Linked DNA regions of Cricetulus griseus. The protein of the gene in region 1 interacts with the protein of each later gene in a pairwise test. Links are inferred from orthologs where the notes say so. Each region holds a gene or a part of one and is shown on either strand. Other genes may lie near its edges.

Region 1 (4,509 bases):
ATGAGAGGATCCTGTCAGACTCAGAGAAGACAGATTTGGATCCTGATGGGTGATGTGATTTTATCCTGGTGTGGAAAGTGGGAGATGACAGCTGTCGAGGGGCAGAGGCTGGGCCATGGCGGGATTAGAATATGAGGAGTGGCACAAAGATGGTGTGAGAGGAAAGGCTCAAGGTAGACAGGAAAGCAGGTTCTGCTGGTTGAGGGGGAAGGAAGGAGGCTGGGGGGTTAGACGTTGAGTGTGACAGAGCATCTCCATGTGAGATAATTGTCTCTCCTAGTCTACATCCTACATCAACGGGGAGGGCCTCACATCTTCTAACATGAAGGAACTGGAGGTAAGTGGCCTTGGAACATGGTTTAGTGACCCTTTAATCCAACCACCTATCTCCTCTTACAGTGGGACCTGAGTGCCTGCTGCCAGCTGAGACAGCCCACCACCCCAACCCTAATGATGCTCTTTCTACCTTTCCCCCATCCCTCCTCCAACTCCTCCTCTCTGCATGCGCCTCAGAGCCGGTACCAAGAGCTAGCAGTAGCCCTGGACTCCAGCTATGTAACAAACAAACAACTCAGTAGCACGATAGAGGAATTGGTAAGAGTCCAGTGGGGTCCCCAATTCTTGCTGCCAGTCCTGGGCTTCAGTTTCCCCTTGGGGCTCTGAAGAGAGAGACTGGGGGCTCCTGGGACCTAGGGGCAATGGGAAACCTGGGGGCCTCAGTCTCAGCTGGAGGCAGCCAGAGCATAGAGCATGCAGCATGGCTCTTCTCGTTGCTCTCCACCTCTTTTCTGTACTCCAGACTCCTAGCCTGAGTCCTCACCCCACTTGTCCTGAGCTTGGTGCCTCCAGTGGAAGAGATCACAAACCCGATTGGTTGTCAGGAGCCCCATGTCCTGCCCTGGCTTAGGTCCTGATTTGCTCTTTGATTTTGGTTACACCATTCCCTGGGTTTGAGTTTCCTGTTGAGGCAGAGTTGGAGAGTGTCAGAGACCTCTTTCCACTCTTAAGTAGCAAGAGTTTAAAGGCTTACTGAATTGTCAGAACCAAGTGCTCTCCCATTCCTCTCTTGGCTATGCAAGATACAGTCAGTTCTTAATTCAGCACACTGTTCCAAGTCCCCAAGTTGGCAGAAGGTAGTCTTCTTTCTCAAACTCGTTTCTAGTGTTACTGTCCTTTAACTTGGACCCAGATTTAAACCTCTGTTGTATAGTTGTGAATGAGAGGCAGCCAAGACACAGACTGTAGTTTGTTGGGAGCTTGGGAAGTTTGTTGGTTCATGTGCCCATGGGGGTCTGAGCACCTTTTTCAAATCCATCCCCCTGCTCTGTCTTGGTATGGGGTAGCATAAAAGGGGCTAGCCCCAGTCACCTTCCTTTGACTCTTCCCACAGAAACAACAGAACCAAGACACTCTGGATCAACTGGAAAAAGTACTGTGGTTTCTGTGTTTGCTCTTTTCATGGCTGATGGGGTTGTGGGAGGCCTCAGAGTTGCAGATTTTGGTCTTGCTTGATTCTATCCTGGAGAAGACTCACCCCACAGGGTGTCCTCCATAGGATCCTTGATAACCTGTCCTGGGCCACTGGTGGCTTTCTGGGGCTCGTCCATTGCTGGGATTCTGCTTCCCTGCTAAGAACTGCATTTCCCATGCCTGCAGGAGAAGAGGGATTATCAGCAGAAGCTGGCAAAGGAGCAGGGAGCTCTCAGGGAACAACTGCAGGTGAGTGGCCTGTGTGATATCCCTATGTCCCCCAGAGAGCATCTCTCCTTCCTCTCAGCACTTTTGGGGGCTTTTCTTCCAAAGGTTCACATTCAGACCATAGGCATCCTGGTGTCTGAGAAGGCAGAATTACAGACAGCCCTGGCTCACACACAGCAAGCAGCCAGGCAGAAAGCAGGTAGGATCAGAGCATTCTTCAGCCTTGTGCTGACGCCTTGGCAGGCCTGAGGGAGGGTCCCTGGGGCTCCATGTAGACGGCTCTCATTTCAGGAGAGTCAGAGGATCTTGCCAGCCGCCTGCAGTCTTCCCGACAGCGTGTGGGAGAGCTAGAGCGGACGCTGTCTACTGTGTCAACGCAACAGAAACAGGCGGACAAGGTAGGACAAGTTGCCTGTCTGGCCATCAGCAGCTTCCTGGTAGACAGTGAGCTTACAGGACTTTTCTGCATGGTCTAGTGCCTTGCTGCTGACAATTTAGCATGAGCTGTTTGTTGCTGCTTTTGTTGTGAGGTTGGAAGAAGCAAACTGGGGAAGAGTCCACAGCTGGGTAACTGAGGGCTGCACAAGTGAGCTCTGGATGCAAAACCTAGAAGCAGGCTATGACCTCAGCTGGCTGTAACCTTGGCCAAGTGCTGATAGAGGGGATATAGCCCCTGGGCTGTGGAAGTACAGAAGAGCTTATCACTGTGCCACTGTGGGTAGGGTAGTGTGTGTACAATACATGTAGAGTATGTTTGAGATGACTGACAAACTCGGAGCTGGGAACAGGATGACAATCGGGAGGCATTTTGCTTCTATACCCTCTGAGTTTTGGATTGTGTGAATAGACCATCTGTTCAGAAGAGAGCACAAGATCCAAATAGAAATTAACTTTCTTCCTCTTAATTGCAACTCTGGGGGAAAGGGCCTAGAGATTTAGATACCCCAAAATGCTCAAGTTCCATCTCTGCTAAGTGACTTCAAGCCAGCACTTTTGTACACTGTGTTTCTGCCCAGTGGGGGTGACAGCAACTGTTGTCAATGGGTGTGAAGATTGGATAGGTTAGCAGTGAAGTGCTCAGTGCTGTAAATGCCTCAGCCTCCACGTGCTAAGATCAGTCTAAACCACCATGTCCTGGTCCCAGTCTTTTTTCCTGCCTGCTTTGTGCTTATGGAGTTCTTTGTTTGTTTGTTTCTTTTTTTTTTATTTTTCAAGACAGGTTTTTCTGTGTCACCCTGGCTTTCCTGGAACACTCTCTCTGAGATCTGCCTGCCTCTGCCTCCTGAGTACTGGGATTAAAGGTGTGCACCACCACCACCACCACCATCACTTGGTACAGTTCTTTTATTTATATTGTTAAGGTTTATTTACTTTTTAAAAAAAAAAAAAGATTTATTTATTATGTATACAGTATTCTGCCTACTCACCAGCAGAGGGCACCAGATCTCATAGATGGTTATGAGCCACCATGTGGTTGTTGGGAATTGAACTCAGGACCTCTGAAAGAGCAGCCAGTGCTCTTAATCTCTTTTATTTTGTGTGTGTGTGTTGCTTGACTTCATGTATATGCACCTCAAGCATCACTGGCGCCTGCAGAGGGCACTTGGATCCCCTGGAACTGGATTCACCATGTTGGTGCTGGAAACCAAACCCAGGTCTTCTGGAAGAACACCTGGCCCTTTTACTGAGTTTTTCCTTTTTTGTTGTTGTTTTGTAGTCCTGAATAGCTTGGAACTCAGAGAGATCTGCCTACCTCTGCCTCCCAAGTGCTGGAATTAAAGGGTTGTCCCACCACAGCCTGGTTCAGGAGTTCTTATTAAACAAAACAAAAGGAGTGTGTGTTGGGGGGTTGGGTGTTTTCGAAGCACTCAGGAGGCAGCCTGGTCTACATAGTGAGTTCCACCACAACCAGGGCTATATAGAGAGGATCCTGTCTCAAAAAATAAAAAATTTAAATAATTCTTTTTTAATAAAGAGTGAGCCAGATGGAGTGACACATCCCTGTAATTCTAGCACTTGAAAGAGAAAGGCCAGCCCCGTCTGCCTGAGACTGTCTCATAAAACCAAAATAATTGCTGGGAAGGTGACACATAGCTGTGATCTCAGCATGGGGAGGCCGAGACAGGAGGGTTCAAGGCTAGCTTGGGCTATAGTATAGATTCTAGGCTTGCCTGGTTGCTTAGACCCTGCTTCAGGAGAAAAAATGAAAGAGAGCTAGTGTATGATTGGTCAGTGATAGAGTAACTGATTAGCCTATACAAGAACTTGAGTTTGGTTCCCAGCTTTGTAAAAAAAATATTATTAATTAAAAACAAAAACAGGGCTGGAGAGATGGCTTAGCAGTTCAGAGCACAGGCTGCTCTTCCAGAGGATTCAGGTTTGATTCCCAGTTACCCACATGGTGGCTCACAACTATCCATAATTTATGCTTGTGGTGATTAGACATATGTGTAGGCAAAACAACAATACACATATAATAAACAACATTTTAAAAATATTAAACAAAACCAAAAAACAAACACCAGACGGTGGTGGCGCACGCCTTTAATCCCAGCACTTGGGAAGCAGAGGCAGGCAGATCTCTGTGAGCTTGAGACCAGCCTGGTCTACAAGAGCTAGTTCGAGGACAGGCTCTGAAGTTACACAGAGAAACCCTATCTCAAAAAACAAAGCAAAACAAAAAAACCAACCCTGAAGGCTATGACTGATGGTGTGGACTTTTGGTCTCCCAGGCTGCATTAGGAAGATCATCTAAGCACAGGAGGTTGAAGCCAGCTATGATAACATAGTGTGACCCCACCTTAAAAACAA
Region 2 (5,054 bases), on another chromosome or scaffold:
CTTTAAAAGACACTGAAAACTCTAGATGGGACAGGGTAAGAGAGGAGGTAGAACAAAGCTTCTTACTCATTATATACTTTCCAGGCATTACACCCATGCTGTGACATCAGTTCCAGATTCTCAATTCGCACTGCTTGATGCTCTAACTGGGCCATGGAATTGTTTACACACTCTTGCCATGCAGTAATGTCATTTTTCTGACCCGAGGAAGGGGCTGGAAGTTCATATCTGAAATTATACAACAAATAAATAAACCAACATATCTTGCCAAGCCTCCATCACTCCTTCCAATAGAATCCCCATGGATATATGCCTGATACACACACAAAGAAATAAATTACCACCCCTCCCCCTGCCCCAAAATGACTGTGGCAGTAAAAGAAACCAATTACCCTGGAAACTAATTTACAAATAAAACACAACTGTATGCTGTAACAAAAAAAAAAAAAATTTTCATAAATGTGAACTAGTTAACCTGTAAAAGTCACAGAGACTCTGATGTCTCTCATCCCTGTTGAGATGAGACCCCTCTTGGGTAAAGTCTGCCTTACCATCTTTTTGAAAGTTGCTTAAATGTATTATATTTGCTAACATTTTTGTTTAAAGAAAAAAGGCCGTGATCATGTTTATAACTGGCAGCACTGTATCTTCTAATCTCACTGCTCACGGCCTCCACACAGCTGGCAATGCTCTTCCCAACCTCAGCCACCGCTGTCGAGTTCCCCCCAAGCCTAACCTCACTCACCGCTTCATGCTGAGTAATTCAATTGGTTGTCGAGCAGCTAGCCTCTCAAATTCGTTTCTCATTATGTCAGTCTGATGAAGAAACAACACAAAGAATTAGTACCAGGATCAGGTTGAAAATAATGTTTACTGAGATCTTATACTTTGTACTACATTATAATGGATCTTTTTGCTTCTCTCAATTACCAACCCCATCTCCCTTTTTAAAGGATATTAATATTTGACCCAGGTCTCACACATGTTCTCCCACTATGCTACACTTTCACCATCCCCCAGTTTGGGTCTGGGCTTAATTTTATCTAGGGTCTTGAAGAAATAGACACCCACTTTAATTCTATAGTCTGCCCAGGCACAAAAGGAGGCAAACATAAAAGAACCTGTGTGTTAAGGATTAACCCTCAATCAGCAGTTTTCAATGCACTGCAATCAGTTGTGGAGCTGTGAAGACAACTTTTACCCAGCCACACATTACATTGTATTTCACAACATATGAGAGCCTTGAATCTGAGCCAAATGTTTCAGGCAGTCTCTAGTGCTGTGTAGTGTGACACAGTGTAAATCCCACATACTCCAGTTTAAAACCTCGACTTCAATAAAGTCACAAGATGAAACATTGGATTTGAGACTTGATTTCTGAACTAATCACATGGAGTTATAAAAACCCCGGGAGGGGTTACAACACAGTTGTAACCTGGGTTCTAAATGAGGAAGGTATCACAACAACTAACCCCACACAGGGAGCAGTTTCTCTGCCTGAAAAACCTCTCTCAACCATCTAATTAATGTATGACAGTCACCCAGTTGCTATCACATCTGTGTAGCCCTGGCTGTGCTAGAACTTGTTTTGTAGATCAGGCTGGCCTTGAACTCACAGAGATCTACCTATCTCTGCTTCCCGAGTTCTGGGATTAAAGGTGTGGGCCACAGCCAACCAGCAACATCATTAATTTTCTATTTGGCATTTATCAAAAATATCCGAGACTTTTTAATTTATCTGCCCATCTCAAAACTAGAATCTAAGTATTATGAGGATACGAACTGTGCCTATTCTGTTCTGTAATACATTGCATATTCTGTTCAGTTTGCATAGACAGTACATAAGCACTTTCTGAATAGGAGTCCAGTAGTCTAGGAAGCAACAAGAATTCATACATGCAACTGCAACAAATTAAAAAGCTTTTCCGATAGGGGGTGGCAGCGCACGCTTTGATCCCAGCACCTAGAGGCAGACGGATCTCTGTGAGTTCGAGGCCAGCCTGATCTACTTGAGGCTCTGTCTAAACTCACACACACACAATCCTGCATCAAGAGCTGGACATGGTGACTTACACTTGTAATTCCAACACTCACAAGCCTGAAGCAGGAAGATTATCCCAAGTTCAAAGCTGACCTGTCTTAGTGAGTTATAGGCTAGCATGAGTTCCAGCCTTAAAAACCTTAATTGGCAGAAGAATAAAAATGAACAGTTATGTAATTCATAGGACCATTTTCTGAGCTAGGAAAAATAGTTCAATACACCATTAACAACTACTAAGAAAGTATTAAATTAACCAGAACACTAATTATAAAGGCAGGAACCGCGCTGCATTTTAAAAGGTTAGAAAAAATGTATTAAAGCATTTAAAAGTTTGCAAATGAACACCTGATTAGGACCTAAATGGTATTTTGGTTGCACTTGTAGGATAACAATTTTAAATGGTATGCAGTTAGGCATGTTTGTTCAGGCATTCATATATCCGCTAACTATCTGAGTTTTGTTACAAAAATCTCCCTTCAGTGGTTGCAAAGAGTACAGGTAGTTAAGATTATAAATATTAAAATCCCGTGATTACTACCTGTTTTTGACTGGACCTTAGAGAATAAAGGATAAGGGGTCCTTTAGGGAAGTTTACTAGGGACTCTTAAAAATAAAAGACCCAAATATTTTATTAAACAAGTCTGCAGAACCAATAAAGTATTTCTTGTAATACGAACCCTGAGGAAAGCTCATCTGGCTATTTTGAACCAACTGATCTTGACATGCAACATGAGCAGCAAGCAGCAGTTGCTTCCAGAGCTAAAGCCCTCAATCCGAAATCTAAGCCGGCAAGAATCCTGGTCAGGATGCGGGACTCAGGACACCGCACTTACTTCAAAGGCAGAATAATCCGGGGCTGTCAGGTAGCTCAGGTAGTTCTTGGTAGGTCGGTATCTGCGAGTTTCCTCCTCCACCAGGGCCGCAGCCTAAGAAAGAGAACAAACCGGGGTCAAGGCGAGAAAGGGAACCATGCCTCGGGTGACCCCCACCCCCGCACGCGCCCCATACTCACCGCTTCCCGCACGCCGGGAGCCTCGTAGCCTTGGTCAAAGTACGGCAACGCATCCACCACCACCTCCCCGGCTACCAAACCCGTGCCTGCCATTGCGCGGCACTCTGCTCCACCAACGCCGTCAGTCTGCGCCGGCTCGCTGCTATGCCACTGCGCCTGCGCGCGGGATGACGTCACACACAGCGCCGCCTCTCGGATTCGGGCCGTGTGCAGAGCGGCTGATTCTGTAGCCGCTAGGTCTTAAGGACTGTTTTGTTTGAGGCCTTGCGCACTGACGTCCCGGTAGACCTGGGATTATGCCTGTCTTTCCTCCATGGCTACGAGGACGATTTTATTCGAGTTTAAGAGAAAAACAACAGGGCAGACCGGAGGCAAGACATGCCCTTTGAGTTAGACATAGATGCTAGCAATGCAGTGAGACTAGCATAGTAGGAGGGAGAGGGGTTTAAAAGACTGAGAATTGGGGCGTGGGAACTTTTCAAGAGGTGGTTGCTGGACTTCACTGGAGGGGAGAAATATACTTCCCACGCCCTTTAAAGAAGCTGGGGGTAGGCGTTGGTGGCGCACGCCTTTAATCCTAGCACTCGGTTGGCAGAAGCAGGCGGATCTTTGAGAGTTCGAAGCCAGCCTGGTCTACCGAGCCAATTCCAGAATAGGCTCTAAAACAATACTGAGAAACCCTGTCTCGAAAAAACAAAAAACAAAAAGAAGCTGGGGGTAAGCCGGGCAGTGGTTGCACACTCCTTTAATCCCAGCACTTGGGAGGCAGAGGCAGGAGATCTCTGTGAGTTAGAGACCAACCTGGTCTACAAGCTCGAGTTCCAGGACAGCTCAGTGGTAAAGCCCCATCTCAATCTTCAGCGCTACAAATGAACACCTCATCCTTCCAAGGACTGGAATTCTGTCTACAGGATGCTTTGCTTAAAAAGCTTTGCCATGTTTTTGTCTCTGGGGCCTACATAAAACCCAATCATTTTGCCTTTAGGATTTGTGGTAATAGTGATCCTCCTAGGCTCCCTTCCCCTCAGGCTGTAACTAGTATACATTCTCTGTTAAGTATACCCCAAAACTAAGAGGTAAATGCAAAAAAGATTGTTGGACCTATGTGTCCTGCCTAATGGGCATTCAACCAAGGCTTATCTGTTAGAAAAGTTGGTCTCAGCTATAAGCCTGGTTATTCTAAGATTGATATGGGTATTTATGATTTTACATTATGTAAATGTGCTGCCTATAGGTTTAAGTAAAGTGAAAGAGCTTCACAACTTGTGGTTTGATGAGAACTGCCTCTCCTAGACCTACATATTTGAACACTCCCAGTTGGTGGCGCTCTTGTGGTTTAGGAGGTGCAGCCTGGCTGGAGGAAGTAAGTGACTGGAGTTTAAAGCCTCACAGTGTGTTTGCGCTCTGCTTCCAAGTTGCTGTTTGAAGATGAGAGCCCTCAGCTCCCGACTCTGGTCTCCGTGCCTTTGGCTTGGTGCCATGCTTCCTCACCATGATGGACTCTGACCCCCTGGAACTGTAAGCCAAATAAAGTTGCTTATTTTTATCACTGCAACAGAAAAGTAACCAATACACATCTCAAGTGGATTTATTTTAAATTCTCCAAGAGATCAGTGGGATTTTAAAATGCCTTTATTCATTAAAATATCTGTAAACATTTGCTAGAAATCTCGAACAATCCTTTTTTACAAACATATCCAGAATTCACAATATTTTACAAAAACAAAATACAACAAACTTAAGGAAAGGAAGCAGCTTTAAATTCTAAGAAGGTAAGACTCTCACCCTCAAAACACAATCTCCCTGCAGAGGGGCAGCCACAACCAGCCACAGTAAACACTCATTCCCATCTTATAAACAACTAATTACCAACTGTTCCTTCAGGGTTGGAGTATAAGAAGACACCCAATGGGGAGATGTCTGAGAAGAGTGCCACAGGGGTAAGCGACACCAACATTTAAGACACAGGCTCAGTTCTTTTCCCTGGACCCACATCTGGGA
Region 3 (4,938 bases), on another chromosome or scaffold:
ACTCACAGAGATCTATCCACCTGCCTCAGTCTGTGTCCTAACTGCTGGGATTAAAGTTGTTCACAACAAACAAGATTATTTTCTCAATCTAGCCCCTAAACTAAACGTGACTGTGACAAAGCACTGAGTATTCTCTTCAAGTGTGACATGCTGATGCTTAAGGCAGCTCTCACAGCATTTCTTCTGATCTCTAAAGGAATTCGAGCAGCAGCTTCCACTTTCTCACCTATTCACAGGGCATAAAATCAAGTTAAGCAACTTGCTCAGAGTCACACAAGTCTCAAGAAGTCTCCTTTGTATCAACCCTTTCTCTACTATTCCAAAATATTCTCTTAATTGTTTTCCTTCAAATTAGTGTATAATTAAGATAATGAAAAAAATCTTTAAATTATAACTGGAAGCATGCAGACCATGTAAACTGCCAGTTTGTTGGCTGATTTATTTCAAACCATCTGTCATGACCTCCGAAGCTCCCAAAGTGTGCATCCCTGCATGGCTAGTCAGCCATGGGCTGATACAGCTGTGATGGCTTTCTTATCTGCTAAAATGACAGATCACCATACTGGGGTGTACCCAGCAAGAACTGTAAATTCTGTGAGTCACTATTTCTCATGTAAGTGGAATGATTGGGTGGCAAAGGTGCATGAGAACCAATCCATACAGAGCATTTCCCTGGTAAGTATTACTCTTATTTGTGTGACTCGGGGTGACAAGGACAAGCTGCATGGCACTCACAGCCAAGGGGGCTAAGAACAGAACTACAAAAGAAATAAAAAAAGCAAATCAAATTAAAAAATACAAAACCACCACCACAACCACAAAAAAACAAAGTAAGTTTGCTCCAAACAAATTTTGGAGAACAAAGGGTAAAGTTATTAAGTTTCTAAACAACTACAGGATCACAGTTACCTTGACTTCTTCTGCAAAGCTTGATTCATATACATGATCCTCTCCTACTTTCCTTTTCAAAGAAGCGTGTCCACAGCACTTAATTAAAATCTATACAGTCATACGATTAAACGCCTGTGTCTCAGCCGGGCGGTGGTGGCACATGTCTTTAATCCCAGCACTCAGGAGGCAGGGGGAGGCGATCTCTGTGACTTCAAGACCAGACTGGTCTACAAAGATACACAGAGAAACCCTGTCTCAAAAAAAACAAAATCAAAAACAAAAGTCTGTGTCTCACGTTCGACCTTCAGCTTTGGCACTTAAATATGTATTCAAAAATAAAACCCAGGAAAGCAGATCTGTCCAGACAGAACTGCCTTACACTACACTGGAGGGGCTTCCACAAACCACTGCTCACTCTGCTCATCTCTGGTTTTTCTTTCACCCAGAAGACAAGAAAGTGTTTCCTTTTGATCTCAAGTGTCTCATCTTCTAGGAGAAGCTTTTATGGGGTTGGGACTTTTTTTTTTTTTTTTTTTTTTTAGCTTGGCTTATTGTATTTTATTTTTGGTATTTTGTTTTGTTTTTACAGAAGGACTTTCTCTGTATAGCCCTGGCCATCCCAGAACTCATTCTATAGACCAGGCTGGCCTGGAACTCACAGAGCTCCACTTGCCTCTGCCTCCCAAAAGTGCTGGGATTAGAAGCATGAGCCACCACACCTGGTTTAGGGGAAGCTTTTGGGTTTGGGGTTTTTTTGTTTGTTTTTGTTTTCTTTTTTCAACTCAAGGTTTGATCATTTATTTGTTACTCTTTACTGGACTCAGACTTAAAAGTAGAAGTTCTCAGCAAGGACAGCCTATGTCTCTTGGAAATCTATGCCTGGTGTTTTTTTGTTTGGGGGTTGTTTTGGGTTTTGGGGTTTTTTTTGGTGTTTGGTTTGGTTTTTTGTTGTTGTTGTTGTTGTTGTTGTTGTTGTTTTTGGCTTCCTTCATTCTGTAGGCCAAGAGTGTAGCATATCCTGCAGCTTTGTCGTTTTTCTTAGTGTGTTGTTTCTTCAGAGCAGTAAGTTGGAGTTGAGAATCTTGGGTGCTTTGGCCCCGGACTTCTTACCTTCTTTGTTTAAGAGCTTTCTGACAAAATACTGGTAGATACCATCTTTAGAGAAATTGAAAAGCTTTAGGACTCTGCTAGCTGTCAGTCCAGGACTATCCTTTTTTTTTAATGATAACCAATCTGAAGACAATCAGATTGGCATCCACAATGTTTCTCCTTGATCTACAGCAAGTATGCTCCTTACTGGACAGCAGACACACTCTGCAGGGGGTCATGAAGCCTTATTTCGTGGGAAACCTTATCTGTCGTTCCCACCAATGAGTGGGACCACACAAGTCCTCCACTCTCCACCCAGAGCAACAGCAGCTACTTCCTCCGCCTTTGCCTCTCTCAGAAAGCACAGAGCTTGTGTTCACCGTCTACTTGCTCTGACAGCCAGTGGCTGGGGAGGAGATAGTCAGCTTCTTTTTAACAGGGCTGAACACCTAGTAGGCAATGAGAAAGGCGCTTCTGGGAAGCTTTCATTTAGGGCCTTCCCTCTGACCTCCATCCATCCACGTATCATGATAAAGACGGTATTTCAATGCCTAACACACATCACACTCCTGTTCAGACAGGGGAGCTTCCTCCCCTAGAAAGCATCCTCAACACAGAGTAAATGAGCGAGCAGGCCAAAAGGCCCCCCAAAGACTTCAAGTATCTGCTGAAGTATCACTCGGTAATTCCGTCAACACTGCCGAGGCACAGGCTCTGCATTCTGGGTTTCCGATTTTTCCGTGTTCAACTTCGCTGGCGGTAGCTGGGTGCGCTTTTCTGGATACCTTTACAGCAATTTTGCTCTCACAAAAACAAACACCCAAGCCCGCTACGCTGCACGCTCGGGCGCTTTCTAATCTATGTCGGAAAGAAGCCCTTCCAGCCCGGCTGGAGGACCGGGAGTTCGAAGTCATCCTGGACTAAACAACGAGACCCCCCCCCCTCCCAACACACACCCCGGACTCAAAACCAAACAGGAAAACTGAAATAACACAGAAAGGAAGAACAGAAATAGAAACCCACCCGCTGGGGGCTCGCCCTCCCTCGCGGCCCCTCCGCCGCTCACCGTCCGGCCGAAACTCGAACTCCAGAAACTCGTGCCCGAACTTGCCCTTGTGCCCTACGTAGTAGCGCAGGTAGAAATCACTAGCCATAGACATTTTTGCCGTCGGCCCAGCCCGCTGCACGGCCAGGCCAACGTGCCGCCGGCGCGGGGCAGTGACGTCAGGGGCGCGGGCAAAGAACGTCACGGCGGGCGCGCCTTCTCCCTAGGGAAAAGAAAGCCAGGGGAGCCGCGGGTCCCGCCGGACACGCTGAGGACAGCTAGAGGTTCGCGCAGCAGCGGCTGCACCGAGATCCCAAGCACGTTGTTTTCGTTTGGGAAAGGATTTTTATATGGTTTGCTCTTTCCCTTTTAGTTCTTGGACGATTTTCATACACGTGTATGATGAATTTTAGTCACTTCCTCCTCGTTACCCTCTCTCCTTTTCTGTCTCCTTTTCTGTCTTCCTTGTGTCTGGGTTGCGGGTGGGTCGGGGGCCCTCACCGAGTTTAGTAAGGGTTGCTTGCACGAGCACGATGGAGGCTGAAGTCCCCGGATTTCATGACCTGGATTCTGTATTGTTTGGGTGTGACCTCCTCCATCTACTGCCTCCAGCCCTTCTGCCCGCGTATTCCTGCTCGCACTTTAAGGACTCAGGCATTATGCTTGCCTGTCCCCGTCACCTGGCAGAATGCACTCGGGCAGTACCCGGGTCAGCCCAGGGGTCCGTGGTTGCGAAGTCTGCACGCAGGTGCAAAGGACCCCCTTTAAAAGAGAGAGACACACCCCCACCCCACCCCGCCCTCTTATGCTCTCTTTCAGGCTCTCTTTCCCGCTGCTCCCTTGGGGCAGACAGGACTTTTCCTGTCTCCCTCTTCTCTTCTGTTCTCTCTCTGCCTCTGTGTCTCTTTTCTCTTTCCTCCGCCCCCCCTCCTTTCCCTTTCTAATCTCACTTAAACTCTGCCTGCCTGGCATGTTTGTCCCTCGCCTGCCAAGGTTCCCCACACATTATCATAACACGCACTGTCTTGTCAAATGCACCTTGTTACCTCGTCAGTCCATTTCTTTAACTAGCCCCCAGTCCCCTTTCTGGTTTGATAACCAACACTCAAAAGCATCTAACTACGTACACAAGCTAAGATCCACGTTCAAGAGTGAATGGGTTATCTGTCTTAATACTTCACGGTTACCCCCCACTTACTATAATAATTTCCAGATTCATCCTTTTTCCTTCCAATTTCATTTTATCTTAGTAATGAACAAATAGCTTTTCTTTTTTTTCTTTAATGGGCTTGGGAGGAACATTCGTAAACCACTTGTACTTTCTGGTTGCCCTCTGGTGTGGGTGTGGCTTTTCTGGGTTTTTAGCCAAGGTTTACAAGCTGCACTTCTTGTGGGTATCTCTGATCTCGAAGCACATTGTAAAGCGGGGTGTGGCTCTACTTCCTGTAACTGGTGAGGTGAGTAAAGATGCATTCCAGTGGCAACCAGAATATCTTCCTGAGTCCTAACAAGCCTTTGCACAGTGCTTCACAGTTACCCAGTAGCCAACAGCCTAAACTAAGACTAAGAGAGCAAACAAAGAAAAGGAAAAAGAAATAAAATTTTAAAGACAAAAGTAAAATGAATCGCTCTAGTGGGAAGTTTGGTGTTCAAACAGCACATGAAGTTGAAAAGCCCAGACAGCCATCGGGGTAAAGTTTTTCATAAGTAGAACTTATGAGTCGCTTCATTTGTAAGGATTAACAGTTGGGGGGGGGGGTAGGCCACAATTCCCAATGGCTTAAACTGGAGAGGTAAGGAGCATTATGGTGTGAGATGGTATTGAAGAGCACAAAATGACAGTGAGCTTGCACACAGTCCGAGTTTCGAATCCTGATCACCTCTCTGTTACCAGCACTGAGTAATCCTATCTG
Region 4 (5,078 bases), on another chromosome or scaffold:
TAAATATCGTGACGTTTTAATCATTTGCTGCTGTTTTTATGTTTATTATTGCTTATAGACAAAGTATACCAAACATTTTTCTATATAGAGGTTCAGGATAAATACTTCAAGCTTTGTAGGGGCACTGATGGTCTACACTGCAGTCTTTGTTAGAGTTCTTTAACACACATGAAAAATTGTACTCTCTCAAATTCAACTAACAAGCAGTAAGTCTGCTAGTGACTGCTGCCATCGAAAGCCCAGAGTAAACAGTGAAGTGTAGTTCAGTGAGTGATTTCTGGAGGCTGGAGTCTCCGTGTTTGCAGATCTCACCTGTTTAGCTACTAAGACTGCAAAAAAATGCAACTGAGCAAGAATACTTGAAGGGCCTGCTTGAGCTCATAGCTATTGTAAATGGTGGAATTTTACTTTATATTAAGGAGATTTGAAAGCAATTCCAGCTTAATAAAGAATGCCTGTTAAAATTCCCAAGGAGAGCAATTACTGCACTAAAGCTTTTCTCACTTTTTAGGCTAATGACTGTAAAGGGCTAATGAGACCCCACACTTATAACAATCCTCAGCTCAGATTACATTCAATAACTTGATAGAATATGTCATTTGAGATTTCTAGCTTTTTCTTCCAAAATCCATGATGCTGTATTAAAACTAAGCACTGAGCTTATATATCAGCTTCTAAAAACAACAGAAACAAGCTGGTGGTGCCATACTCCTTTAATCCCAGCGTTAGGGAGGGAGGAAGAGGCAGGTGAATCTTTGCTTTGATACCAGCCTGGATCACAGCTACACAAAGAAATCCTGCCCTGGAAAAAATCAAACCAAACCAAACTAAAACCATCAGAAACAAATCTTTCTACGTTGTTCATAAAATAAATACCACTGGCAATAATAGTCTCGAAAAGACTAGAAAATTGCCTACGTAAGTTACAATCTATTTATTTATTTATTTATTTATTTATTTATTTATTTATTGAGTCGGGATCTCACGATGTACCCTTGGCTGGCCTGGAAATCTCTATGTAGCCCAGGCTGGATTTGAGGCATCCAGATCTACCTGTGTCTGCCTCCCAAGTGTTGAAATTAAAGGCATGTGTCACCAAGTCCAGCCAGAATCTATATTTTAAAGTACATTTTTTTTCCTTCGTTTTTTCGAGACAGGGTTTCTCTGTGTAGCTTTGGAGCCTATCCTGGCACTCGCTCTGTAGACCAGGCTGGCCTCAAACTCCCGCCTGCCTCTGCCTCCTGAGTACTGGGATTAAAGGCGTGCGCCACTAACGCCCGGCTTAAAGTACATTTTAAAAGTGCACCATTATTATAGTTTCCATATAAGAATTTCCCAGGAAATTAACCAGGAGTTAATGCCCCTATACTCTGTTGGGGCACTCTGAAAGGATTGCTGGTCACATTCTGTGGTTCATTCTGTCTTATAAAGAACGGAATATTAGCAAAAGGACAATCTGCCTTCTACTGTGAAACACAGACTGGAACACAATTACACTATCTCATGGAGAGCGTTGTGCTCTTCATCACTATAGTTACAGCTTCTCTTGGGCCATTTCGCGTTTCAGAGAGAGCCTCTCCTCCTCCGCCATAGGGTTACTGGTTCCAGTCCCAACGGTTCTGGGGCGCAGCTGGACGCTCGCAGGAGGGAACCCTGGGCTTACACAAAAGGCAGGAGGTTGCCATCCGAGCCAGCCCATGCTGGGGAGGCCGCCGCGTGACGTCAGGGCCCGCGGGGCCAGTGTCCGCCAGCACCCTGGACCCCGAGTCACCGCCGCCGCCTTGCGGAGGTCACCACGGGGTGACAGGAGGAGGGGCAGCGCCGGCGACGCCCGCTCGCACCCAGCCGGTCGGCCGCAGAAAGATCTAGACGCCCCGGCCCAAGCCCCGCCCGTCCCCGCCCACCGCGTTGGAACCTGACGTTGTTTGGACGTTGCTAGGAGACGCGGCGAGCACCCGCGCGCGCGCGCGACCCCACCCCCCCAGAGCGGGCAGGCGCGAGGGGCGGAGCCGCGGGCGCGCCGGGGGCGAGGCTGGCGAGCACCGTTAGCGGGGCTGGCGCGCGCGCGTCGCCCGGCCGCGTCAGGCCTCGCCGCTGCCCGGGGGACGGACTCCCCGGCGGCTCACAGCGCGGAGGCGGGACGACGGGGGACCGTGGGCCAGGTGAGCCGCGCGGTCACGCCCCGGGGACAGCGCGGGGGAGGGGGGGCCGCTCGGCGTTCTGAGGGCGGGCGCGGCGGTCCCCGGCTGTGAGGCCGCGTTGCCGCGGGGACGCTGCAGGTGTGCACGGGAGAGGGCGGGGCGACCCGCGGCCGGGATGCGGTTCCCTCCCTCCCTCCCTCCCTCCCTCCGCGCCTCGATTCCCACTCCGGGCAACAGGTGGTGCCCGAGGGCCGGCTGCGAGCCCTGCGCGGCCGCCCTGGGAGCCGCAGGCGCCCTCGCCAATTAGGGCGCCGCGGAGGGCGTGGCGTGGCCGCCCCGACGCGCTGACCAATGGGATCGCGGGGCCGGGGTGGGCCGTGGGGGTGGGCGTGGCCACAGGCCGAGTCCCAGCTTCCCTGCGTCGCGGCCGCCAGAGCTGCGCCGAAGTCTCGGCCGGGAGGAGCTGCGGCGGCGCGATCCCCGCGAGGAGAGACGCCGGCCAGCCGGCCAATGTGTCCCCGTGGGGATCCGGACTTCAGCCCCGGAGGTGAGAGCTCTGGCTTGCCTCGGGGAGGGGGCCTGGAAAGTGATCCCGGGTACGCGGCGTGTTTCGCCGGCTTAGATCTCCCGGATAGGATTGCCTAGTTTCTAGTTTTCTGCCAAGAAAAGGCCCTTTGGGTGGATACGGTGACGGGCACCAGATAGATACTGGTGACTGCGTTGTCTTCAGAGGAGCTTCTGAGGTTCGGGGACCGTGGAGACTAGAGAGAAGTACACGCTACTCCAAAGCGGAGAGAAGAATGGAACAGAGCCTTTTGGTGATAATTGTTGATCGTTTGTTTTGGATTTCGTACATTTCTCATCTCATCTGGTGTGCTTACTTACAGCAAGTTTTATTAAGTCCCCTCTCGGTGCTTTATTTTTTAGAGAAAGTAGAGAGAACCCATTTTAATGTGTTCACAGTAATAACATAGTCGTTTCCTCCGCAGCAGTCTGGTAGCTCGATCCCCCTGGAAGAGAGACTGTAAGCAGACTAGAAGAACGCGTTCGGTTCGGGACACCGTTTGCAGCTGGAAATGGGGAATGGACTGTCAGACCAGACTTCCATCCTGTCCAGTCTGCCGTCCTTTCAGTCCCTTCATGTCGTGATTCTGGGTCTGGACTGCGCTGGGAAGACAACAGTTCTATACAGGCTGCAGTTCAATGAATTTGTAAATACGGTGCCTACCAAAGGATTTAACACGGAGAAAATTAAGGTAACCTTGGGCAATTCCAAAACAGTCACTTTTCACTTCTGGGATGTAGGTGGTCAAGAGAAATTAAGGCCACTGTGGAAGTCATATACCCGATGCACAGATGGCATTGTGTTTGTGGTGGACTCTGTCGATGTCGAGAGAATGGAAGAAGCCAAAACTGAACTTCATAAAATAACTAGGATATCAGAAAATCAAGGGGTCCCTGTGCTTATAGTCGCTAACAAGCAAGACCTGAGGAACTCACTGTCTCTTTCAGAAATTGAGAAATTGTTAGCCATGGGTGAACTGAGCTCATCAACTCCTTGGCATTTGCAGCCCACCTGTGCAATCATAGGAGATGGACTAAAGGAAGGACTTGAGAAACTACATGATATGATAATTAAAAGAAGAAAAATGTTGCGGCAACAGAAAAAGAAGAGATGAGTGGCAATCAATGCCTTTTTTATATCGGTGTGGAATAGTTTTCCCCGGGCTGATTTGATGAGTTGAAGAGTGTCTACAGCCTGGTTTGCCTGCCTGCCCTCCTGGATGCTATTAAAGCTTTGTTTTGTTGAACAGTCTGATGCCCAACTCTGTTGCCTTGGGGAAGATGAGTAACTGCAATGCTTCTTGAAGTGGCTTGAAGTGGTCTCTTCTCCCTGACCCACAGATCTTTTGGTACTACCATTTTGGGAAGCCAAAAAAGGATAGTCATTGAGCAGAAAGCAATTTTGTGGAAATATTTGACCTGAAGTTAGTGAAATAAAACTTTGAAGAGTGTATGCCTAGTGTTTTGTGCTTGTATCTTTTTGGGGGAAGCCTTTGCCAAGAAACTGCAAACAAGGCTTTGTAAACACAAAATGCTAATGAATGGAAATGTTACGGTAGATTATTTATTGTGTGTACACACAAACACACACAGTTAAATTGAGCACACTGGGATAAGGAAGCATTTTCTTTTTTGAGGTTTTGGCAAGATGATTTTTGAGCATTTTTCTGGAATCAGTTTTTAATGATACCTCTTTAATTCTAGACAGTGTTTAATTTAGTTGGTCTGGCATTAATAAAAACATTTGTGGTATATTCAAGTGCATGGATTAATTTTTTGGACAAGCATGTTTGGGTGTATAATCTTTAGAAATAGCTATGCATCTGTCTACACAGGTTTAAAACAACCTTTTTGGGGGCCTTAGAGCTATTGTAGAAATAGTTCATTGTTAGAAGAACTGTCACTTGAACCTAAAAATGACTCTCTAATATAGTAAATATGAATAAGTTGACTAAATACATATGCTTGAATACATGAATGGATTTTTGGAGAAGTGGATTCAATCAGAGATTGTAATACATAGTCTCTCAAATAATCTAGTTAAAAGATACTTGTTTTATTACTATTTGCTGGCTGGAAGCATTTTTTTTCATATATTTTTGTAGAATTTTGGGAGGGATGAGAGCTTTATAACCACCTGATGAGCTGTGGAATGGATATGTAAGATACCTTTTGATATGTGTTCTGAGCTTTCATTTTTTTGTTTATCAGCTGAACAGTATTTCCAGAGCTTTCTAACTCTGATCATAGGAAGAAATGGTATGGTACTGCAGCTAGGAATTAAGATCCCAGAAAATGAAGGGGAAAGTGGCAAAGCCATTTCACAACAGTTAATGGGCGCTGTTTCTGCTGTAATAAAAACAAAATGAAATT
Region 5 (5,081 bases), on another chromosome or scaffold:
TAGTTATCACACTCCTCAAGCAACACCATGAACTGGGGACTAAGTGTTCAAATATCTGACCCTTTGGGGCATTCATTCAGACCATTACTGCATGCTACAATAAAGATCCTGTGGATAACAGAAATGTCTCCAGGCTAGGATGTTCAGGACCTGCTCTAGCAGATTCGGTGTCTGGGGACACCCATTTTCAGGGTCATAGATGGCAACTGGGGGCTCCCAGCTCTCTAGGGGCCTCTTAAGACACAAATCCCATTCATGAGGAGTTTGCTGTCAGGGTCCAAGTTCTCAAAGCCTTTTACCTAGTCCATTTACCTAGGACCTTGGAGTTCAGTATATGAATTTCGAGAGAACACAGGTATCCAGGCCAGACAGCATTCTAAAAATAAAGCTTCAAGCATGAAAACAAGGTATTTGGGATTAAAAAAGATTTGGAAAAAAAAAAAAACACAACAACAACCAGTTAAAGGGTCAGGGGAAATCAATGGATGAATGGATGAAGAATAGTTTTATATTCCACCACAGAGGCTGACTTTTCATTGTTTGAAGAAAAATGGAAGAAACTGGTGATCATGTCAAGCAAAATAAGCCAGACTCAGAAAGACAAGTGTCATGCATGCTCTCATGTGTGGACTGGGAACAGTAACAGTAAGGAAATGAATGAGAAGGGGGGGCTGTGAAGGATATGGAAATTGAGGTGAGGTGATAGTGAGGATAGTTGAATGACGAATTTGATCAAAGCACATCAAACACATGATTTTGTAGAGGGAAAGACCAGGTGGGTAGTGTCACTGTATGTAGTCTTAGCTGAGGCTGAAAAAAGGGATCGTTTGAGCCCCGGAGTTCAAGAGCAAGGTCTCATGGGGAAAACAAAACAAAACAAACAAACAAACAAACAAAAAACAAGGACTCCTTAGACACAAAACTTAAGAGGGAATGAGAGACACAAAGCAAGGGACATAGGTAGAGCTTGTGTTATAGCTCTGAGGTTCCACCTTTGTTTATTACATTATATATTTATTTAGCTTTATTTTTTTGTTTTACGAGACAGGGCTTCTCTGTGTGTAACTGGCTGTCCTTGAGCACACTCTGTGGACCAGGCTGGCCTCGAACTAGCAGATATCTGCCTGCCTCTGCCTCCTGGGATTAAAGGCGTGTGCCACCAACGCCTGGCACTATTTAGCTTTAATTTTTAAAAGGTTTATTTGGTGTGTATGTATGTTTGTGCTTACACATCTATGTACCATGTGCATGCTTGGTGCTGGCCGGAGGTCAGAAGAAGGTGTCAGAACTCCTGGAACTGGAGTTATAGGCAGTTTTGAGCCACCTCGTGGGTGCTGGGAACCGACCTCGGATCCTCTGAAGGAGCAATAGGTGCTCTTAATCCTAGCCATCACCCTAACTCCCATATCTAGCTTTTGTGTCTCACTCTAGTTCAGGCTTGCCTGAATCTCACTGTGTAGCGAAACTGAAGCGGGCTTCCCAGTGGGGCTTCCCAATCGGGTCTCAGAGCCCTCGGTGTGGCTGGTTAGTCAGTAACTGTGGACTTCTCCAGCGGCCTCAGATGCTCCCTCTGACACTTGGCTATCGCGTGGCGCGCCCGCCTTTCCTCTGAGGGGCTGTGGCGCTTTCCTTCCCGCCAGTGTCCATGGATGAGCTTACTGCACAGGGGCAGCGTCTGCACCCACCCCCGCGCGTGCCCCGGTTCCACGCGGGAGTCCCGCTCCGCGCGCCCTCGCCGCCGTTTGCCGCACGCCCCCTGGAGGCTCTATCCCGGTTCCATCCCCGCCGGACCCGGCGCCCATGATCCTGGAGCTCCGCGGTCATCTGCGAGCACTCCAGGTGCGTTGTCTCCGCTGGCCACAGCGGGATGGGCCTGAGTCCGGCCGCCGGCGGGGAGTACGGGATCCGCCTCTCCAGGGTCCCATGGCCGCGCCGCAAGTTCACCGCGAAGACCAGCTGTACCCCGTCAAGTGACACCCAGCCTGCCACTGGAAAGTCAACCGTGTCCCACGCAGGTCTGCCCCGGGAATGGGGCCTCTCCCTCGAAGCCTTTCTGGGTGGTTCTTGTCCCAGTGAGTAGCCGCCTGTCAAAAAAGACTTGGCAGTTGCTTGCGTCTAACCTCCCCCACCACCCCTACCCCGCCTCCAAAATTTATGGAGGGCAAAGAAGGAAGGGGGCACAGTTCTAATCCTTATTTATTTACTGTATGTTTTGGAGACGGGGGTCCTTCTTGCTATGCAGCCCTGGCTGGCCTGGAACTCTGTATTTTGGTCAGGCTGGCCTGGAACTCAGAGATGTGCCTACCTCTGCCTGCAGAGTGTTGGGATTAGAGACATTCACTACCACACCTGGCTTCGGACATCATTCTAAACCGGAACACCCAGCCCACTTTAGGCTTGAGTTGATCTCTCATGGGGTTCACTTCTTCCCGCACAGAAGGCAGTTGTGTATTAAATCACACCCCTTCCCTCCTGAATTAGAGTCAGCGGGATCTCAAGCTCTGTTGGTCCAACTCCTGCCAAAGCGGTTCAAGAAAGACTGCGGGTTAAAACACTCCAGAAGCTTGCCTCGCGGGTAAGATTCATTCTATGAGGACTGGGGCTTTGGAACCAGAAGCCTTTTTTGAAATCTGTCTTAAAACACCCCAACCCCACCAGGTGATATCTGCTCCAATCAGCCAACAACAAACCATTGAGTAGCACCTACAGGGTAAGATTGAGCTAGGCTGTAGACCTGATGGCTGTTGGCATACCTTATTGAAGTTTTTACCCACAAGGCCTCTCTGCAGGCTCTTGAAAGTTGAATGGGTTTGTAGGATCACAAACTAACAAAAAAACTCAAGAGGCTAGTGCCGGGGTGTTAGGTTGGAGTGAGAGGAGGAGGTATCAGGCTTTTTGCATCTTATATCTTCTCTCCTATTAAAATTATCGTGCAAGTACCCCTTGCTGATAAGCATTTGAAAAGAATAACGAAAAAATAAAAAACAAAACCTAAAAGCTCTGATCAGTGTGGGAGGGGAGAATGAATAATAGAATTTATTTGGGAGTAAGTGCAAAGTGTACACACCTTATGGGAAACCAACAGTGCGTTCCAAGGACATGGGATAGAAACATTTAGAGTTGAAAAGAGGACAATGGAAATTGCTGTGAATCGATCATTTTTTGGCCTCAGATTTAATAAATAACAGTGGCATTTAGGAACCAGCAGGAAGGGTGGGTGGGGCCAATCCAAGTTGATCTCTTGCTGGGCAGGTGTCACTCTTTGGGGCAAGTTATGGCTTTGTGGAATTTCTTGTGGTAGCTCATGTCAATTGTGCATGGCAGCACTCCCTCTGGCTACATTTTGTTTGGATTTGAGACCAGGGGACTCTACTTTGAATGTGACACCTCTCACCTACACAGTTAGTTTTAAACAATTGTCAGAAAACCAGGAGGCAACAGGCTTACTGCATGAAAGTGAATGTCTTCATAGAATCAAGTTGGCAGGTGTGTGAGGGGTGTTCTTTCAATGACAGAACAGGAAGTGCTCAGATCTGAAGCCATTGGTCACACACTTTCCAACAGCTGTGGAATAATGTTGTTTGCAATGTGATTGTAAAATCATTTATAGAGAGAATCCAGTAATTAACATGGAGATCACGTCCAGCAAGAACAAAACAGAGCAGATTTCAACACCCAAGTTGGAGATCGAAGGCGAACTAAAAAGTCAAGAATCAGAGGTGCGTATCCCAGGAATTGATAGCATGAGTGCTTTAGTCTCTTGGTGACTGCAGACTGTATTGTGTTTTACTCTGTGTCTAATAAATGTCTGCACTGACATGAGATATTTATTGTGCATTTTCAAGGAGCTTTACTGAGGTGTATTTAGCACATATTTAAAATTGTAGATGTTTAAAATATGCAACTAGACACTTTTTGATGCTGTTAGAGCTGAAAAGAGAAAAATGGCAGTTCCTGGGAAGGATCTGACACGAGATTACCCCTTAGAAGACCTTTATCAGGAGAGAGAGCCTCACAACACGGGGAGGGGCAGCAAAGGTGTAACAATAAGTCTTTCCACCAAGCCACCCGAGTACTGTTGCCACGTGGGCGCTTTCTGCCTGGCTGAAGTTCTGCCTGCCGCCACGTTGAGGTCCCAAGTAACACACAGAGACTTATATTAGGTACAAATGCTGCTTGGCCAATGACTAGGGTTTCTCATCTGCTAGCTCAGTCTTAATTATCATAAATCTATATATTTTATAAGACTTATCTTATGGGATACCAGCTGCTGGTGTCTTCTCTTGCCAGGATCACATGGCAGCTCCAGAGCAGAGAGCAGGAGGAAGAGAAAAAGGGGATGACTTTCTTCTTGCCTTTGCTTATATATGAGTCTGCCTGCTAAGTCACTTCCTGCCTGTATCACAAGACTTCCTTTTACTACATTTCACAGAATCCTCCTTGGCTCCTAGTCCCACCTAACCTGCTTCTTCATTAGCCAACAGCACTCTATTCAACAGCCAGTAAGATAAACATATACAGAGAAGGACATTCTCCATCACATAGGACTTTGTGAGAGCCTGAGACTAGACATAGTGTCTTAACAGCAGCATGGTGAGGCCTTGGAGGGGGAGAGAGTGCTAGCCCTTCAAATCCTGCGAACAAAGAGGTTTTCTGACTCTGATAGGTTTTGGAGGTGTGTGTGTGTGTGTGTGTGTGTGTGTGTGTGTGTGTGTGTGTAAGCTTCATAGCACATGATCTATCTTGGCCCTGTCACTGTAACAAAGGGCACGGTAGCAGGCATCAGGTGGGACCATGCCTATTCTGCAGCTCCAGGGGATGAACAATGTGCTTTCTTATCAACCCTGGTCTCAGAAAGAGAGAGTTGCAGAGGGTTATAGTCTAACAGAGGGAGGGGAGGGAGGGAGAGAAGGAGAGAACATGAATGAGCCATCAAGGGGCTCTGTGATCTCACAGATAACATGTATACGGTTATGAGGCTCCTGTTTGTCATCCCTTCCCTGTTACCACCGTGACTCCATCGCCAGGCTGCCACCAGTCTGCTTTCCGCCAGCTTTAGATTAGTTTGCATTTTCTTAGCA

Evidence for each region. The genes of interacting proteins can lie anywhere in the genome.
Region 2: the proteins of Golga2 (region 1) and Bcas2 interact in binary tests that used the Homo sapiens proteins (3 or more experiments, as listed by UniProt). The two-hybrid records come from large-scale screens. The link is inferred for Cricetulus griseus from reciprocal best matches to the Homo sapiens genes GOLGA2 and BCAS2.
Region 3: the proteins of Golga2 (region 1) and Magohb interact in binary tests that used the Homo sapiens proteins (3 or more experiments, as listed by UniProt). The two-hybrid records come from large-scale screens. The link is inferred for Cricetulus griseus from reciprocal best matches to the Homo sapiens genes GOLGA2 and MAGOHB.
Region 4: the proteins of Golga2 (region 1) and Arl4a interact in binary tests that used the Homo sapiens proteins (3 or more experiments, as listed by UniProt). The two-hybrid records come from large-scale screens. The link is inferred for Cricetulus griseus from reciprocal best matches to the Homo sapiens genes GOLGA2 and ARL4A.
Region 5: the proteins of Golga2 (region 1) and Plaat5 interact in binary tests that used the Homo sapiens proteins (3 or more experiments, as listed by UniProt). The two-hybrid records come from large-scale screens. The link is inferred for Cricetulus griseus from reciprocal best matches to the Homo sapiens genes GOLGA2 and PLAAT5.

The regions. Positions count from the first base shown.
Region 1 is NC_048599.1:144,031,755-144,036,263, forward strand, and holds part of Golga2 (golgin subfamily A member 2), read left to right. Parts: intron 1-280; coding exon 281-337; intron 338-513; coding exon 514-594; intron 595-1,390; coding exon 1,391-1,429; intron 1,430-1,656; coding exon 1,657-1,719; intron 1,720-1,803; coding exon 1,804-1,897; intron 1,898-1,989; coding exon 1,990-2,096; intron 2,097-4,509. UniProt on the Homo sapiens protein: Peripheral membrane component of the cis-Golgi stack that acts as a membrane skeleton that maintains the structure of the Golgi apparatus, and as a vesicle thether that facilitates vesicle fusion to the Golgi membrane.
Region 2 is NW_023276806.1:53,787,360-53,792,413, forward strand, and holds the start of Bcas2 (pre-mRNA-splicing factor SPF27), read right to left. Parts: upstream 3,215-5,054; 5' UTR 3,147-3,214; coding exon 3,054-3,146; intron 2,968-3,053; coding exon 2,875-2,967; intron 817-2,874; coding exon 746-816; intron 229-745; coding exon 67-228; intron 1-66. UniProt on the Homo sapiens protein: Required for pre-mRNA splicing as component of the activated spliceosome. Component of the PRP19-CDC5L complex that forms an integral part of the spliceosome and is required for activating pre-mRNA splicing.
Region 3 is NC_048601.1:16,031,953-16,036,890, reverse strand, and holds the start of Magohb (protein mago nashi homolog 2), read right to left. Parts: upstream 3,215-4,938; 5' UTR 3,141-3,214; coding exon 3,047-3,140; exon of another isoform or gene 3,004-3,046; intron 1,118-3,003; exon of another isoform or gene 910-1,117; intron 1-909. UniProt on the Homo sapiens protein: Required for pre-mRNA splicing as component of the spliceosome. Plays a redundant role with MAGOH in the exon junction complex and in the nonsense-mediated decay (NMD) pathway.
Region 4 is NC_048598.1:161,628,624-161,633,701, forward strand, and holds Arl4a (ADP-ribosylation factor-like protein 4A), read left to right. Parts: upstream 1-2,006; 5' UTR 2,007-2,162; intron 2,163-2,569; exon of another isoform or gene 2,570-2,688; intron 2,689-3,130; 5' UTR 3,131-3,217; coding exon 3,218-3,820; 3' UTR 3,821-4,164; downstream 4,165-5,078. UniProt on the Homo sapiens protein: Small GTP-binding protein which cycles between an inactive GDP-bound and an active GTP-bound form, and the rate of cycling is regulated by guanine nucleotide exchange factors (GEF) and GTPase-activating proteins (GAP).
Region 5 is NC_048596.1:51,794,869-51,799,949, reverse strand, and holds the start of Plaat5 (phospholipase A and acyltransferase 5), read left to right. Parts: upstream 1-1,867; coding exon 1,868-2,015; intron 2,016-2,481; coding exon 2,482-2,575; intron 2,576-3,610; coding exon 3,611-3,719; intron 3,720-5,081. UniProt on the Homo sapiens protein: Exhibits both phospholipase A1/2 and acyltransferase activities. Shows phospholipase A1 (PLA1) and A2 (PLA2) activity, catalyzing the calcium-independent release of fatty acids from the sn-1 or sn-2 position of glycerophospholipids.